Saccharomyces cerevisiae S288C: one gene and its partners. The protein of the gene in region 4 purifies or fractionates together with the protein of the main gene of each other region. This does not show direct contact. Each region holds a gene or a part of one and is shown on either strand. Other genes may lie near its edges.

The links.
Region 1: the proteins of ECM2 (region 4) and CLF1 purify together in Saccharomyces cerevisiae (affinity purification with mass spectrometry; 4 studies listed by BioGRID). This does not show direct contact.
Region 2: the proteins of ECM2 (region 4) and PRP46 purify together in Saccharomyces cerevisiae (affinity purification with mass spectrometry; 4 studies listed by BioGRID). This does not show direct contact.
Region 3: the proteins of ECM2 (region 4) and PRP19 purify together in Saccharomyces cerevisiae (affinity purification with mass spectrometry; 5 studies listed by BioGRID, with this or other methods). This does not show direct contact.

What each region holds. Positions count from the first base shown.
Region 1 is NC_001144.5:381,621-386,592, forward strand, and holds CLF1 (Clf1p), read right to left. Parts: upstream 2,915-4,972; coding exon 851-2,914; downstream 1-850. Other genes in the region: mRNA splicing protein MSL5, read left to right, coding at 1-632; TML25 (palmitoyl-(protein) hydrolase), read right to left, coding at 3,105-3,788; ESCRT-I subunit protein SRN2, read left to right, coding at 3,914-4,555; YPS1 (aspartyl protease), read right to left, coding at 4,891-4,972. UniProt on the Saccharomyces cerevisiae protein: Involved in pre-mRNA splicing and cell cycle progression. Required for the spliceosome assembly by promoting the functional integration of the U4/U6.U5 tri-snRNP particle into the U1-, U2-dependent pre-spliceosome.
Region 2 is NC_001148.4:265,607-269,389, forward strand, and holds PRP46 (mRNA splicing protein PRP46), read right to left. Parts: upstream 1,930-3,783; coding exon 574-1,929; downstream 1-573. Other genes in the region: peptidylprolyl isomerase RRD2, read left to right, coding at 1-498; YPL150W (non-specific serine/threonine protein kinase), read left to right, coding at 2,582-3,783. UniProt on the Saccharomyces cerevisiae protein: Involved in pre-mRNA splicing. May also be required for cell cycle progression at G2/M.
Region 3 is NC_001144.5:66,245-70,531, forward strand, and holds PRP19 (E3 ubiquitin-protein ligase PRP19), read right to left. Parts: upstream 2,013-4,287; coding exon 501-2,012; downstream 1-500. Other genes in the region: ENT4 (Ent4p), read right to left, coding at 1-274; GRC3 (polynucleotide 5'-hydroxyl-kinase), read left to right, coding at 2,336-4,234. UniProt on the Saccharomyces cerevisiae protein: Probable ubiquitin-protein ligase involved in pre-mRNA splicing.
Region 4 is NC_001134.8:367,730-371,372, forward strand, and holds ECM2 (Pre-mRNA-splicing factor ECM2), read right to left. Parts: upstream 1,950-3,643; coding exon 855-1,949; downstream 1-854. Other genes in the region: CNM1 (Cnm1p), read right to left, coding at 1-455; NRG2 (Nrg2p), read right to left, coding at 2,308-2,970. UniProt on the Saccharomyces cerevisiae protein: Involved in pre-mRNA splicing. Facilitates the cooperative formation of U2/U6 helix II in association with stem II in the spliceosome. Binds to RNA.

The DNA of each region.
Region 1 (4,972 bases), on a different chromosome or scaffold from region 4:
GAGAAGATAACAGGCCCTGTCCAATCTGTGGTTTAAAAGATCATAAAAGGTACGATTGTCCAAACAGAAAAATCCCAAATATACAGGGCATTGTTTGCAAAATATGTGGACAAACTGGACATTTCAGTAGAGACTGTAACTCATCGTCTCAAAGAATGAGCCGTTTTGACAGAAACGCCACGGTAAATAATTCTGCGCCAATACAGAGCAATGACGTACACTATAATAGCAATACTCATCCAATTCAAGCACCAAAAAGATCTCGTTATGACAATAACTCGACGGAACCTCCTTTAAAATTTCCGGCTTCTTCACGTTATGCACCATCACCTTCACCTCCTGCGTCACATATTTCGAGGCAAGCTCAAAACGTGACGCCTACACCCCCTCCCGGCCTAACATCAAGTAGCTTTAGTTCCGGAGTTCCAGGAATCGCCCCTCCCCCATTACAAAGCCCTCCAGAGTCGGAACAACCGAAATTTTCGCTACCTCCACCTCCCGGTATGACTACGGTACAATCCTCAATTGCACCTCCTCCTGGCCTAAGCGGTCCTCCAGGGTTTTCTAATAACATGGGCAATGACATTAACAAACCTACACCTCCGGGACTGCAAGGGCCTCCCGGATTATAATACACTCCCATTATACAATATCTGCATTTTTTTTTATTTGTGTTGAAGGTATGTAGTCTCTATTTTGCATAGTTCCTTTTTTTGTTGGTTTTTTGCCTTCCTGGTTATTATTAACTTTTGATATTTAATTTACTTACTAGCTTATTCTACTACTGTTTAGTTTCTACGGCCTGAACTACAATGACAAAAATATTATTTCACGATACCCTTACCTTTATTCAAAGTGCCTGTTCCTGTTTCCATTTTTTGGCTAGTTCCAAGAACTTTGATGGTTTTGGCTTGTCATCATCGATATCATCAGGAAAAATGTAATCCACGAATTCTTCTTCCACACCGTTCTGTAACCTCACTTTTTTGATTACTTTAGGGAATCTTTTCTTGACGGTTTCTTGATCGAGTTCAGTACCGTAAGTTTCTTCATAGTCTTTTAGCGCTTCCAAAATAGACAGTCTCCCTTGTTTATCATCCTTCTCCTTGAAAAAAACTATCGCCTCTTCAAAAACTTTTCTTGCCTCCAATTTATTCTCATCGGTAATTTCAAACTCTATGTCTTCATCCACATTTTCGCTTTGCAGTTTTGCTAAATCTAATAGTTGTTGCTCCGTCGGGGTTGAAGTTTGATACATGGCGAATTCGATCCAGCTTTGGGGGGAATATTGGTTGAGCTCCAAATATCTTCTATAAAGCTTCCTTGCCTTTTCAAATTCTTGTGATTCTGTCTCAAATGTTATGTATTTTTGAAGTAATACAATTTTAGCCTCCTTTGTTAAGAAATCAGAATTTTCATCTAGTGCAATTGTATATATACCTCTTACTCTATCCCAATCTCCTAAATTTTCTTCTAGTTCTCCATATTGTGACCAAATTTGTAGATCAGAGGGCTGAAATTCAATAAATTTCTCATATATTTTTCTCACACGATCAAATTCCTTCAACTTCACTTCCAACTCGATATATCCTTTGAAAGTTTTAGCCTTAGGACATAAACCGATTGCTTTACCCAAAATTTTTCTCGCCTTCGGTACATCATCATGTCGTATCAGAAATTTAGCATACATTAGCCATATTTTGGAAAAAGTGAAATGTTTATGAGGGATGATGTCGTCAATTAACCTCTGAAAAAGTTCTTCTTCTAAAAGCGAATTTTCCAATTCTAACTCAACATAGCATATATATCTCATCCACAGATAAATATACCTTTTCCACTGAACATTTTTTGATAGTTCTTTTGGTCGGCTGTCCACAATAGCTTTCTCGAAAGTTTGCATTATTTGTTTGGGGAAACTTTCTGAAATGAGATCCAAGTACAGCCACCAGGTGTCATAATCATAGGCGTTATTACTCAATATTGTTTCATACTCCATTTTCCTTTTATAGCTAATAGTTTCTTCTATTGAGTTTATGTCACCAAACTGCTTTTCAAAATCCAACAGTCCTGCCTTGAGCAATTGATTGGAGGGCCATTTTTCTATAGCAATTTGATAAAGAGCACTAGATCTTTCGTATTCTTGCTGCGCAGCTTCCCAATGAGCAAATGAATTTACTAATTTTGCAACCTCCATATCAGACCAAATCTGTAAATTTTGGAGGTTAGCTACTGTGTCTATCGCTAAAGAATACACACTTCTCGTAAATTCAGTATTACCATGTCTATTTTCAAACCTCACCCACTTTAGCCATGTCTGCATTTGCGGGTGAGCCATGACGTATTTTGAGTAAATCTCTCTTACACCGTTCCAGTTTTTCTGTCTTATTTCAAAATCCACGAAAGAATTCCATGCATTAACCCCTGGCTCCAAGGAGCACCATTTGGTGTACAGTGATCGTACAATTTCAACGTTGTTTAACGACTCTTCGACAATGAGATACTTGTACCATAACTTGTCTACTCTGGGCAACGTACTAATAGCTCTGTTCATAAGATTCCTAGCATGGTTAATACATTTGACTTTCAGCTCAGCATCAATGTATCGTATCCAAAGGGGGATGAATGAACTATCTACTAATAATGCTCTTTCAAAGATAGATCTGGCGCGCCTCATGTCGTGTTGTTCGATTTCGAATTGCGCATAACGAATCCATTGTCCCATATCCAGTCGGTTTCTCTTCAAATAACCCTCATATTCTGTTCTCTTCCTTCGTTGATACTCTCGAAGTTCCTCCAAGTCTAATATATCAATATTAGTCGATCCTCTTGCTTTTTGCCCCTTCTTGTACACATCCCGCAGAATCTGCTCCGCAGAAACATGCGTATCAACGGCTGTTGGCTCTAAAGTGTCCATGCTGGCAATAGTAGAGTACTTTTAGCTCAAGTTTGTCTATCTATTATGAACTTGCATAATCAATGAGTCTCATCACCCCAACTATTTGGCACCAAGGTTTTTAATTTTCTATCGCGTCTTACGGATGTATATAAATTATTTAACCAAGTATAATAGCGGTTAAATTGAACTCGCAATATTAGGAAAAGAGCTATGATGATAAGCTCTTCTTGATAAATGAAGCCAAGTCTTCTAATTCATCTGGAACTGTAGAATGGGCCATACCTTTGTATACTTTAAATTCATAATTTTGTATCTCACAGCTATCTTGATAGAACTGTTTTGCCTTTATACCTAGTCCAATAGGAACTACTGGATCCATGTCACCATGCCCATGAAAAATTGGTGTCTTTACATTAATGCCATTCTTATGTTGTTTCAGAATTCCTGGGATGGAACAAAATCCCGACAGAGCTACTATACCACCGATTTTCCATGGTAAAGTAACTGATGTTGCGAGAGCTAATGCGGCACCCTGAGAGAAACCTCCGATAATAATCTGCTCCGGTTTAATTCCTTTATCAATTTCTTGCTTAACCGTCTTTTCTATGGAATTCAAAGAATTCATAAAACCGTCACTGTCAACTTTGGAAAAACTAGGATCCCATTCCAAGATGTCAAACCAAGCAGGCATCAATGCACCGCCGTTTGCTGTCACATGAAGCTCTGGAGCATTAGGAAAAACAAAATTAGTATGCTGGAAAGCGGCAGGGTCTCTCTGTTGTAAATACTGAGCTAAAAATCCCCATCCCGAACCTGTATCACCTAATCCATGCAAGAATATGATAGTTTGGCGTGCTGGCTGAATTTTTGCTGCAACTCTAAGTCCATTCATATTCGATAGCGCTCAAATGGGCAAATATAGTGTATGTGTTCTTATTTTCGTTCTCTTTTGCTAACATTTTTATTTCATACAGAAGCCATTTTTCCCTAGAATAGGCGTTCTGAAAAGAAGGAAATATGAAAGTAAAGGCTACAAAACTAAGGATAAAACAACGAAGGAAAAATAAGGGGCTCAATATAAGCAGATTAGATATTATCAGAGCAGAAATGGATGTGGTACCATCTCCGGGTTTACCAGAAAAAGTAAACGAAAAAAGCAAAAATATTCCCTTACCTGAAGGAATTAACCTTTTATCATCAAAGGAGATAATCGATCTAATTCAAACCCACAGACACCAATTAGAGTTATACGTCACAAAATTCAATCCCTTAACGGACTTTGCTGGAAAGATTCATGCATTCAGAGATCAATTTAAACAATTGGAAGAAAATTTTGAAGATTTACATGAGCAAAAAGATAAGGTCCAAGCCTTATTAGAAAACTGTAGGATTTTAGAATCCAAATATGTAGCTAGCTGGCAAGATTACCATTCCGAATTTTCAAAAAAATATGGTGACATAGCATTAAAAAAGAAATTAGAACAAAACACAAAGAAACTTGATGAGGAGAGTTCACAGCTAGAAACTACCACAAGGTCCATTGACTCAGCCGATGACCTGGATCAGTTCATCAAAAATTATCTGGACATACGAACACAATATCACTTGAGGAGAGAGAAACTGGCGACCTGGGATAAACAAGGTAATTTGAAATACTAGTTCAGCAGCTACCGCCATTATCAATATGTACGTATATAGACTATACTTTATAGATTATTCTAGATGCCAAACGAATTATTAGAATATTAAAGCCTTTGATTATAGGCCATATCCCAGGTAAATAGTATACTAGGAATGAGAAAAAAAAATGTGAATAAATGGTAACCTATTCTTAGTGGGTAAGATAAACTATTGTGAAGTAAAAATGAAGACCGCCAACGTAACAATAAAAAATTAATAATAAAAAAAAACTTTGCCCAAGCGAGAGCAACGATTTCCGCCAGAAACTCCAACTGGCTTGGAGATGTGAATGTCTAAACTTTGTGCAACGGTTTTCAGATGAATGCAAAAAGAAGAGAAATTAATGTGAGGGGTAAAGATGGAACTATATGATCACCAACATTTCTTTTACTTGAT
Region 2 (3,783 bases), on a different chromosome or scaffold from region 4:
GATGATTATCATTTCCTTCCATTTCTATTTGGTGCCTTCCAATTAACCACCCACAAGCACTTAAAGCCGATATCAATTCACAATAATGAGCTCGTAGAAATGTTCGCTCATCGGTACTTATATTTTGGTTGTATCGCTTTTATTAATAAGGTCAAGTCATCCGCCTCCTTGAGATGGCATTCTCCTATGCTAGATGACATCAGCGGTGTAAAGACTTGGTCAAAAGTTGCTGAAGGGATGATAAAAATGTATAAAGCCGAAGTCCTTAGTAAATTGCCCATCATGCAACATTTTTACTTTAGCGAGTTTTTGCCTTGTCCGGATGGTGTATCTCCACCAAGAGGCCACATACATGATGGGACTGATAAGGATGATGAGTGCAATTTTGAAGGACATGTTCATACTACTTGGGGAGACTGCTGTGGTATAAAGTTACCGAGCGCTATTGCGGCTACTGAGATGAATAAAAAACATCATAAACCAATACCTTTTGATTAGGAAAAGTCCATTTATAGATGCTATCTCATTGTATATACACGTATACAGGGTACGTACTTTTTCCATCTACTCCCACTAAAATCTTTTGGCGCTTAAGTTGGGGTTCCACGCTAGCCCCGGTTCTGACTCTTTTGTAGCCGTCTCATCCTGTTTCCAAATCTTTATGCTTTTGTCTGCTTCTCCAGTGATTAATCTTAAACCTGTTTTATCGAAAGTGCTACAAAGAACACTCCGTTCACCTTCCAGAGAGCCTACCATTTCTCTCGTGGCCAACGATTGGTATTTGTGACCAGACTTATAATCATAAAAGGAAAGCACACCATTGTCACCGCCAGCGAATAATACATCATCTTGATTAATGCTTAAAGTATTGATTATGCCTGTCTTTTCAGACTCAAAATTGGTGAGTAAAGACCCCTCTGCTAATCCCCATGATCTGATGTCATCAGTACACGCAGAAGCCACCGAAAACTCCTTAGGATGCAACGCTGTAGCTCTCACAGACCTCTTATGATGTGTTAGAACTTTCATTGTTTTCCCAGCAACTACATCCCATAACCTTACCGTAGCATCAGTCGATGAACTCACCACTTGAGGGTCTACTGGAGTACACTGTACTTGATTGATTGGACCCTTATGCCCAACTAGTGTAATAACAGGTATTCTGGTTCTCATATCCCAGAGTTTGATAACGCTATCTCGGCCTGCGGTAGCTATGAGATCCAGCGTTGGATGTATGCTCACCGTACGAACCCCCGATAAATGTCCATAGTAATCTCTAATAATTTGGTTTTTCTCTAGGTCCCAGCATTTGACCGTCTTATCTTCACTAACAGAAAATAAATAAGGATGTCGATCTGACACAGCAACGTCTCTCACTGTCATTACATGCCCTGCTAAGGTAGTTTTTAATTTTCCTGTTGCAAGATCCCAAACTTTCATTGTCGTATCATTACTTCCGGTGATGAACCATTCGTTGTCAACAGGATCGATTGCAACGCATCGTACCCATCCAAGATGGCCATTGATAACGCGTGAAAGTTTCCAGGGTGCATGCCATTCCGGCCTTTGTGACAGAAGTTTTTCGTATCGATTAACTATAAGTTCTTCAGCAACCTCTGGTTGGAAAATTTTATTCACAAAAGCAGATGCATGCGTATCGTGATCTTTCTTGCTAATCACTGCTTGTGATGCTTCTGAAAAATCTGTAGGAACATGCTGCAGAGTAACTTTCTTGCCTTCACCACTAAAAGAAGAACTTTCCTTCCTATAAGTATCATATCGCATTAGCAATGATTTCTGACCTTCCATTTCGCTTTGTAGGTGGGGCGGCAGAGTGGCCATATATGAAAATTGGTTATTCCAGCGTATTCTGGAATAAAATTTGTCTACATCTCCTAAATTTTCGACTTTGTGATCATTTCCGTCCATTCTCACTAATCTCCATGTAACACAGTGTCTGCATCCTCGGAAATGGTTTTAAGATGCAATGAAGTGGGTAATAATTACTGTTAGCTTCACATCTTGAATAATCTTTTATTGCCAAAATTGTAGCTTTTCCGTATTAGATGATGAAGAATTTTGAGCACCCTTACTTAATAAAAGAGTTGTTGAACTCGAAATAGGAATACGAGATGAGGAGTAATTCTCTGAAAGTAGATAGCTCCTCTTGTCACATTGAATGCTACTTTATTGTGACTATAGGTGATTTAAGCGAACGAATGTTCTTAGGTCATCGTGGATTTGTGTGGTGATTTTCGGCTTATCTTAACAATGTTGACCGCGTGGACCCTCCCAATCTTGACAACAGAACACTTATCAATAACGGTATACAATAAATATCTTGTATGAATTAAATAAAGTAACGTTTTTTCCCTCATATCATTCCGAATCATTACGAAAATTCCAATACCTGTATTTTGAAGTCAACAAGAGTTTCGTTATCCGAATACTATTTTTTGTATCAATAAATTTTGTTTCGTTTTTCATTAATAACTAGTCACTGTGTAGTGGAAGCAAGTTCTCCTTATCCGTTGCCAAGAGACAATAAAAGACCCACATATAGGTGAATATACTGCTCACCATGGTTAATCCTGTTGGATCCTCGAAATTGGAACAAAACAATATAAAAAGCATTATAGGATCATCGTACAATCGACTATACAGCCAATTTACTTCTGATGAGTTGACAGAAGTGGGAAACTACAAGATTTTAAAACAAATAGGTGAAGGAAGTTTTGGAAAAGTATATTTAGCGCTCCATAGACCAACACATCGTAAAGTCTGCCTAAAGACGAGTGATAAGAATGATCCCAATATCGTTAGAGAGGTATTTTACCATAGACAGTTCGATTTTCCTTATATTACAAAGCTTTATGAAGTGATAGTGACAGAATCAAAAGTGTGGATGGCATTAGAATATTGCCCAGGGAAGGAATTATATGACCACTTACTTTCTCTGCGTAGAATATCGTTATTGGAATGCGGAGAGTTGTTTGCACAAATTTCAGGTGCTGTTTACTATGCACACTCAATGCATTGTGTTCATAGAGATTTGAAGTTAGAGAATATTTTATTAGACAAAAATGGAAATGCAAAATTGACGGATTTTGGTTTTACGAGAGAATGTATGACAAAGACGACATTAGAAACGGTTTGCGGTACCACAGTTTATATGGCACCTGAATTGATAGAAAGAAGGACTTATGATGGATTCAAGATTGATATATGGTCATTGGGAGTGATACTATACACATTAATTACGGGATATTTGCCATTTGATGATGACGATGAGGCTAAAACGAAATGGAAAATCGTCAATGAAGAACCGAAATACGATGCTAAAGTTATTCCGGACGATGCTAGGGATTTGATCTCACGATTATTGGCTAAAAATCCGGGAGAGCGCCCATCGTTGTCACAAGTTTTACGCCACCCTTTTTTACAGCCTTACGGTTCAGTGGTTTTAGATCAGACTCAGAAAATTTTGTGCAGACAGCGCAGTGGAGGGACTCAGTTTAAAAGTAAATTAGAAAGGCGATTGCTGAAGCGTCTTAAACAATCAGGGGTTGATACGCAAGCAATAAAACAATCAATTTTGAAAAAAAAGTGCGATTCACTCTCGGGTCTATGGTTATTGTTGTTAGCCCAAGGGAAAAAGCAAGAAAATTGCAAATATCCAAAAAGAAGCAGGTCCGTTTTATCAGTCAAAAAAGTTATTGAAAGTGCTACGCATAACGACACTAATGGCATTAGCGAAGATGTTTTGAAACCCTCACTTGAACT
Region 3 (4,287 bases), on a different chromosome or scaffold from region 4:
TGGACCCGTTATTCATCAGATATGAGACCAAAGTCAGCGTCTTCATCACCTGGATACAATTTCGATGAGAATTTCTTCTGTTCTGCCCAAGTAGCAATCGCTTCCGGATTACCTGGATGATTTCTCGTACTGTCTTGGGGCTGTAGGTCAAGATTGATATTTCGTTCATAAGCGTCCCCGTTGCTCCACTTGTTTCGTCCTCGTTGGTAGCCTGTTTCACCTTTGATTCCGTCGGTGATTGAATAAAACTCTTGAAGGTATCTAACAAAGGCATCACGACCCCCTCACTATATGTGTACTCGTTCTTTGACACCTTTATGCTTTCTAGGCTTATTCAACACATAACCTCAATTTTCGTTTTCTCATTCTTTTTTCTTTTTTTTTTTTTCTCACTAAAGCGTTGTCCTAGAGATGTAAAAAGAGAAGGAAATGAAATTTTTACTGGAAATGTTACTACTATTACACAGGTTTATTTAGAAAGTACAAACGTGTCAGCGTATTTAGGGTGTCAATGCAACAATATTGAAACTATCATTTGTCTTCAGAATAGCGGCAATACCACCATCTCCGCATACCACGTCCATATCAGTGAAATCGGCAGTGTCGCTTTGCAAACAGAGGGCGCTCTCCTCGTCTTTAGTCCAATTTTTTGTTTTCTTGTCAAATTTGTATATCGTCAGCGAATTGCTCTCGTTTGAGTATGCAATCATATTCTTTCCAGAGTCGTCAATGTCATAGGTAACGGTGCCCGTCTTGAATTCTGGGATTGTGTAAGTTGGATACGCTAGCGTGCCGACATCCTTTCTTAGGTCAAAGCAAACCACAGTTTGGTCACACTCTACTACCATCCAGTACCCATTGTCTGCAAATTTAACCTCTTTTATCTTGGCTTCTTCATCTACGGGGAATCTAGAGCTTGCCTGGTCAGGTGATGACAAGTTGTAAACGTCTAATATACCGTCCGGAGAGTAAAGGGCTAATAATAATGAATCCTTATGTAGGACACCGCTGCTGTACTCAACATCTGATTTAGCAGAATGAACAATATACTGGGAATCATCCTCGTAGGATTGAAATCCTATGGTTCCTCTATTATCCGCCCAGATGAAGTACTCTGTGTTGACCTCGTTGTGACCATACATATATATAATCTCATTGGCGGAATCTACCTCTATTTCTCTGAGGACTTTGTTTGTTTTTGAGTCCAATATAGTTATTTGGTTACCTGGATATAGTAGTAGCAAACGATTACAAGGCCCTCTGGAAATAATAGCTGGATGCTCTCCCCCGGTACGGGGATTTGGTGTAGTTATTGTGGTAATCGTTTTCGAATCTTTTAATTGGGTAAAATGTAAAGCACCATCCTCACAGCGACACATGCACACCCATTTATCATAGTACATAGATTTGTTAAGCTCTTTATATGGGAATGTTTTGATGTTACGGGAGTAATTTTGTGCCTGTAATAGCTCCAAATTTTTTAAAATCGGCCATTTGGGTGCTTTGAGCTTGCCCCTCGCTACAAAGTCTCTAGAAGATTGTAACAGCCCTTGTAAAAATTCTTCTCTCGTAATAGCTACCGCTTGCTGTGAGGATTTGGGTAAATCCTTCGAATCTTCGTTTTTTTCCATCAATAGTTGCGCAGCGACCAACTTTGCAGCATCTCTTTCGTACATTACAGTCGACAGTTTTTTCGTTAAACTATCTAGAGTTGATCGTAACTTAAAGTTTTCGAGCATTATAGCATCCCATTCATTCTGTAAACTTGTCAACAGATTCGGAATCGAATAATTCGCTTTTAACGTAGCAGAGTTTGTAGACTCTGTTAGTGAGGCTTGTTGCGCACTAGGTACGATTTCCACTATTTCTTCGATGCTTAAGGGCTCATTTGTTATCGGATCATTCCCCGTATCTTTAACATACTGTTCAAGGAGCGACTTTTCAAAAATAGTCCTGGATTTAGGTGATAGAACTGGCCTTCTAGGAACTTTCCCACTAATAGCACAAAGCATTGTTCCCTAGTTGGCTTTCTTGGCTATGTTTTGGTCTTTAATATTTCTTGGAAAGTTTGCATCTTTCTAAAATTGCCCTTACGAATTTTTCACCGCTGCTACCCGAAAAAGTACGAAATTTATCAACATGAAATTTATTCCTGCCAAGTCATCGAGTGCTCTGCGCCTAAGGCTTAGGTTGCATTTAAGTTGTCTTAATTCACGCTTATAGTGCAGGTAGTATAGGTTCCCCACTCCTGATCTTTCCCTTCTGAAATAAGGAAAGACTGCAGTTTAGTTTGGCAGAGAGAAGAAGATAATCATTTCTATTATATTCTACCGCTATGGTGATAGATTCCAAACAGGATCTACCTCAATATACCAAAGATTCAGGTTCAGAATCGGACTCAGACTCAAGTAATAATTTCATTGTGGAATCTCCGTCAATTCCATCTTCAAAAAGTGCAACCGTAGTTCTCAATAGTGAAGAGTATGAGGACGACGAAGGTGATGACTTGAACGGGCTGGATGCTGAATTGATCGATAATATAACGTATGAAGGAGATGAAGATGAAACTATGTTTGTGGGGTTGAAAGAAAAACAGAAGTTACATTTATCTGGTGTTTTCCGGCTGCAAGTGGTGAAAGGAGGTATTGTCTACAACAATGTACACTATAACGCTTCGAGAGAAATTTTAACCTTCTGGCACCCGTTATCACAGTCCATACCTACTATAGATTTTTCGCACTTTGCAGGCTGGCAAGACACTTTTTTTATGCCGAGAAACAACAGGTTTAAAATTAGAGATGAAGAATTCAAATCATTTCCATGTGTTCTTCGCGTTTTTAATTCTAATCATACGGGCTTGTTAGAAGCAGGTCATTTATATCGGGATGTTAATTATCTATGGAAACCTAAAGAACCTTACTTTCCATTAAACGAGAGAACAACGTATCATTTATTACATGAGTCAGACCGAATTCAATCTTTATCCGTGCCGGGATATTGGTCAACTCCGTTAGAGAAGTTATATTTGAGTCACAAGAACGCTGCGTATGATACAAGAATCATGGTGATTGGTGGTAAAAACTCTGGGAAGTCTACATTCTTGAGGCTTTTATTGGAAAAATTTACGCAAGATATACGAGATTCTACTACGAGCCAGGAAGAATTGGTATACCTGGATTTAGATCCTGGTCAACCTGAATACTCACTACCTGATTCAATATCCCTGAATAAGATTCTTTCCAGCCCTATTTCTCTCGGACAACATCTCTGCCAAGGTTCAAATTTCCAAACTTTGTTACAGTTCTACGCTGGCTCCTCTTCCCCGCAGGACGAGCCCACATCATACCTGAACTGCGCTGATAAACTTATAGACCATTTGGAAGAGCAAGCCTTCTTCGGAACGTCATTGCTTAATCTACCTGGGTGGATAAAAGGATTCGGGATGCAGATTTTAAATCATATAATAAGGAAATATAAGCCCACTCACTTATTGTTTTTGGAAACAGCTAATTCGAAAAGACACCTGGATGAACTAACAATTCCACAGAGTTTTTCCACATCACTACGAGATGCATATGCACCTGAAGTTGTTCGCGTTCCAGCCCATAGTCTGAACCACACCTTATCTTCTAGGTTCCATGCATCACAACTGAGAACATTCAAAATACTGGCACTGTTTCATAAAATAACTCAATTTGATTATGATTTTGCGCCTCTTTTAAAATCTGCACCTTTGCAAATTTCATATGGCAAAGGTAAAAGCGGTATTAAAGGCATTCAATTTCCTATGGAATTCCAGGATCTGAATCCTCAAGATATCAAGTCCGCATTGGAAGGTACTGTCATTGGGATATATACATATTCTGGAGAAGACTCACTAGAGGTGAAATCCTTGAATACCTTTCCCATCCTACAATCGTGTACTTCTTCTTCTAAAAATTTCATAACTCTGGGGCTGATACACTCTATTGACACCTCCCAGCAAATAATGAACATTTACGTGCCACCTTGCCATACCCAGATTTTAGATAAACAACCTGAGGATGCTCAATGGATAATAGTAAGAAATAAGACGGAAACTCCTTTTTGTGACTTTCTTCCATCCCCCCGCACAATTACATGGGATGATAATATACAAATACCGTTCGCAACTTTTGAAAGAAGGAAAAAATTGGAACATGTGTGGAAAGTTCGTAAGAACGTCATGAGACGTGGCCAATTCATGAAAAGATAGAAAGAAAAGGTAATCGTACATTTTTTAATAGTGAAAGATAGAGGATACACAAA
Region 4 (3,643 bases):
TTATTGAGGCAGTCTTCATTAAAGTTTATTACAATGGATATGGTATCACCAGTCTTGAACCTACAATCATCTATTTTAGGTGAGCTCGTAGGCATTATTGGAAAAGTGTTCTTTCTCTTAATAGAAGAGATTAAATACCCGATAATCACACCCAAAATTATTGTGGATGCCCAGATATCTTCTTGGTCATTGTTTTTTTTCGCTTCAATCTGTAATCTCTCTGCAAAATTTCGGGAGCCAATAGTGACAACATCGTCAATAATAAGTTTGATGGAATCGGAAAAAGATCTTAAAAATGTAAATGAGTATTTCCAAATAATGGCCAAAATGCTCTTTATATTGGAAAATAAAATAGTTGTTTCGCTCTTCGTAGTATTTAACATTTCCGTTCTTATCATTGTAAAGTCTGAGCCATATTCATATGGAAAAGTGCTTTTTAAACCTAGTTCCTCCATATTTTAGTTTTTTATCGATATTGGAAAAAAAAGAGCTATCAGAAATCAGTCAATATATCATGTACCTATGGAACCTTATCTTTCTCAAAATAATAAATTATAGTGATACTTTTAGAATTGTGTCACTTTCTTTTTATTTGTACTTACAAAATTCGGCCGAGTTATCATCTCGGTAACCGAGAGGAAGAGCCCGAGCAGCTAAAAGCGACAAACCGTACAGATAAAATGTTCGTGCTAATCCAAACTGCAGCATTCCGTATAAATTTGTCAGATATACTGATCAACTTAGATAAAGTTCCCCACTCAACCTGCTTTTGTTTATTACTTGCAAGGTAGATGGATGGTCGAAATTGATCAAACAGTTCGTTTCTTCAACCCATGATTTTTCTTACGTTTCATCTATATTGTTAACTTGTTAGCGCGAGGTTTCGATTTCTTTGATCTGTCCTTATGAACTTTTTTTGATGTCTTTTTCTTGTCATTCTTTGCGTTATCTGTGCTTTTTGTAGGAAAAGAAAGCCCTAGCTCCAACTGAATAAGCTTATTCAAACTTAAACTAAGTTTTATATTTTCTGCAGTGTTGGTTCCGAATGACGCAGCTGAAAAGCCAGACGACCACGGAATGATAAAGATTCTAAAACGGTCAATAAGTAAAACTCCTCTCTTTAGGCCCTTTGGTGTGACAAGTGTCTCACTTATTTTACTGACAAACCGCTCCCCCAATTCACTAGATTGAAATCTTAGGCCACCACACTTCGCCTTGTGGTTGACTATTAATGACAATGAATTTCCATCCTTCCATTTCTTTATACCCAATAATTGCGAAACTGTATCAGTTATTTTCCATTCAGGGATCGAGGCATCAATATTATACAGAAAAAATGATTTGGTGGAGGGGTTTTTTAAAAACGATTCATTCAAGGGTAGTTTCTTCAAAATATGAGAAATGTCCACGGACGCGTACTTTTCCAAGTTTTTGACCTCATTTGCACCTTTTTCATTTTTATACAATGCAGTTGTGTTTTTTATTAACGGAGTACTTGGGCCATCTGATGTTGCTCGCAGAAGTATATTTTTCAATTTATCAACGATATTATCTGCTTCTGACGGATCACTCGTAATCTGAGCTCCTCCTAATTTCACGTTTTTTAGTGACAGAAACCTTTTCATCATGTCGTTTTTTGCTTCCTCCGTCATAACGTTTTCCTCGTTCACAAGGGATATTAAATGATCCCGCAGTTGTATAGGGATGTGCCATCTTGAATCAAGCATACAGCATTGACAAATGTTTCTCTGAGTGGCGCACCGTACACATATTAATGTTTTAATGATATTATTGCTTCGTTTAGACGTCTTAAAATGGTATAAGGTGAACGGTAAGGTACAAATCTTACATTCAGAGCCTTGTGGAATTTTAGTCATTCGTATATTAGCCTCATCACCTAAGCACTGCTCACATATATTGGGCGGTGGCTCATTAATTTCATCATTCATTATATTAAGGGTGCAATAACTCTTTTCCGTTAGCTACCTTCTATTCACCTGCTCAAAAGCCCTTCCATCATCATTACCACTTCTATCAATAAAATTTGCCATAGCATTTCTTTTTTTTTTTTTTAGTCCTTATTGCCTAAACGTCATCACAGGAGAGGGTAATCCCGGAATGAATAAGGTTTGAAACTTCACGTCCCTCCGGGTTGTGACTTAAAAAAATTACGAAAGAGAACCGACTATCGTTCCTGCTATTGTTCTTGGTGAGTATTACTAACCCGCTTAGTTTTATTACTATTTATCAGTCTTTTATTTGTACGTTATTTGAATATTTAAATGTTTTTGGCTGAGCTCACTCACATCAACTGCTAGCCTCCCTCCTCTTCCAGTTTCTTTTCTTCTTGTTTGCATGAGTTCGATAATGCTGATTACAGTTATCATGTCTACTAAACCTCTGTCCACAGCCCTCATGCGGACAGATATGATTTTTTTCACCTGTATGGATTCTGTTATGTCTTGAAAGATGACCAGAAGTGGTGAACCCAGTAGAGCAGATCTTACAGAAATGACGAGTCCTCTGTCCTGCTGTATTGGTTTTCGTAGATTTCAATTTTATCACGGTTTTTGTCGGTTTGCTTATTTTAATTGAGCTATATGGATCTGATTTACCGTTACCGGTATTCTCTGCTTTTACAATATTAATATTTTGCAATGGCAGTATCGGTGACGTTTTTCCACTTGCTGTTAATCTTGAAATAGTCCCGTCACTCGTTCTGTTCGCTTGTTTTCCGGAGAAAAAATCGAAAGCGCACTTATTCAATTTATCTTTCAAGTCATCATCAATTAGATGTGATGTTTTCATCAAGGGTATCAGGGTTTGGTATTTCCTTTCATTGTTAAAAGAGAACATTTCAGGCATAAGAGTTATCTGGGAGGGCGAACATTCGAAATTGATGGGAAATTCACATTTCCTATCTTTAGCTAGAATAGTTGACATCAAGTTGTCTTTGTAACCTATGGACATCTGGAAATTTTGTAGAAGCTTTATATTTTTTGTTCTTCGAACAGTAGCGAGTGCTCATATGACTTGGTGCCGGAAATTCATTTGAGCTGTCATAATATGATAAATATTTATATGTAAAAATTTAGGCCAGATAATATATAAAAGATAAACGATTTAAAGAGGGTGTAGGATTTGCCTGTTAGCGATGTAGGAGCTACTGCACGATGTAGCATGTAATAGCCAGACGTGATTCCCCTAAACTCAGGCCCTTCTCCAAGGAGAATGCAACGGTAGGCAGTTCGTTTGAAATTGAAACTTTTCTCAACGACAATGATGTCCCGCAGCATAAGAAAACATGAGATCAGAAAAGCGTTGCAAAACGCAGAAGCCACTTATCAAGAGCTACGGCTGCGCGTTTTTCTGGGACGTGCTGACAAACGAGAAAAAAGATGGCTTTGTATTCAGTTCAAGGCCCTGTGTATTTTTTTCCTTCAAGAAATTTTTATTTTGGCCTGGGGTCTTTAAACGGACGGGTGCCCTGAGAGTACTCTCGCATAATCCAGGGATGGCTTTTTCACAGTCGTTTAACATTCGTTTATGAAGTAAAGAAAAAAAATACCAAACCCCGTTAAAAGAGAAAAAAGGTAGCCGAACATTGAAGCAGCCCATGCCAGTTTGTCCTTGGGCAGATAGT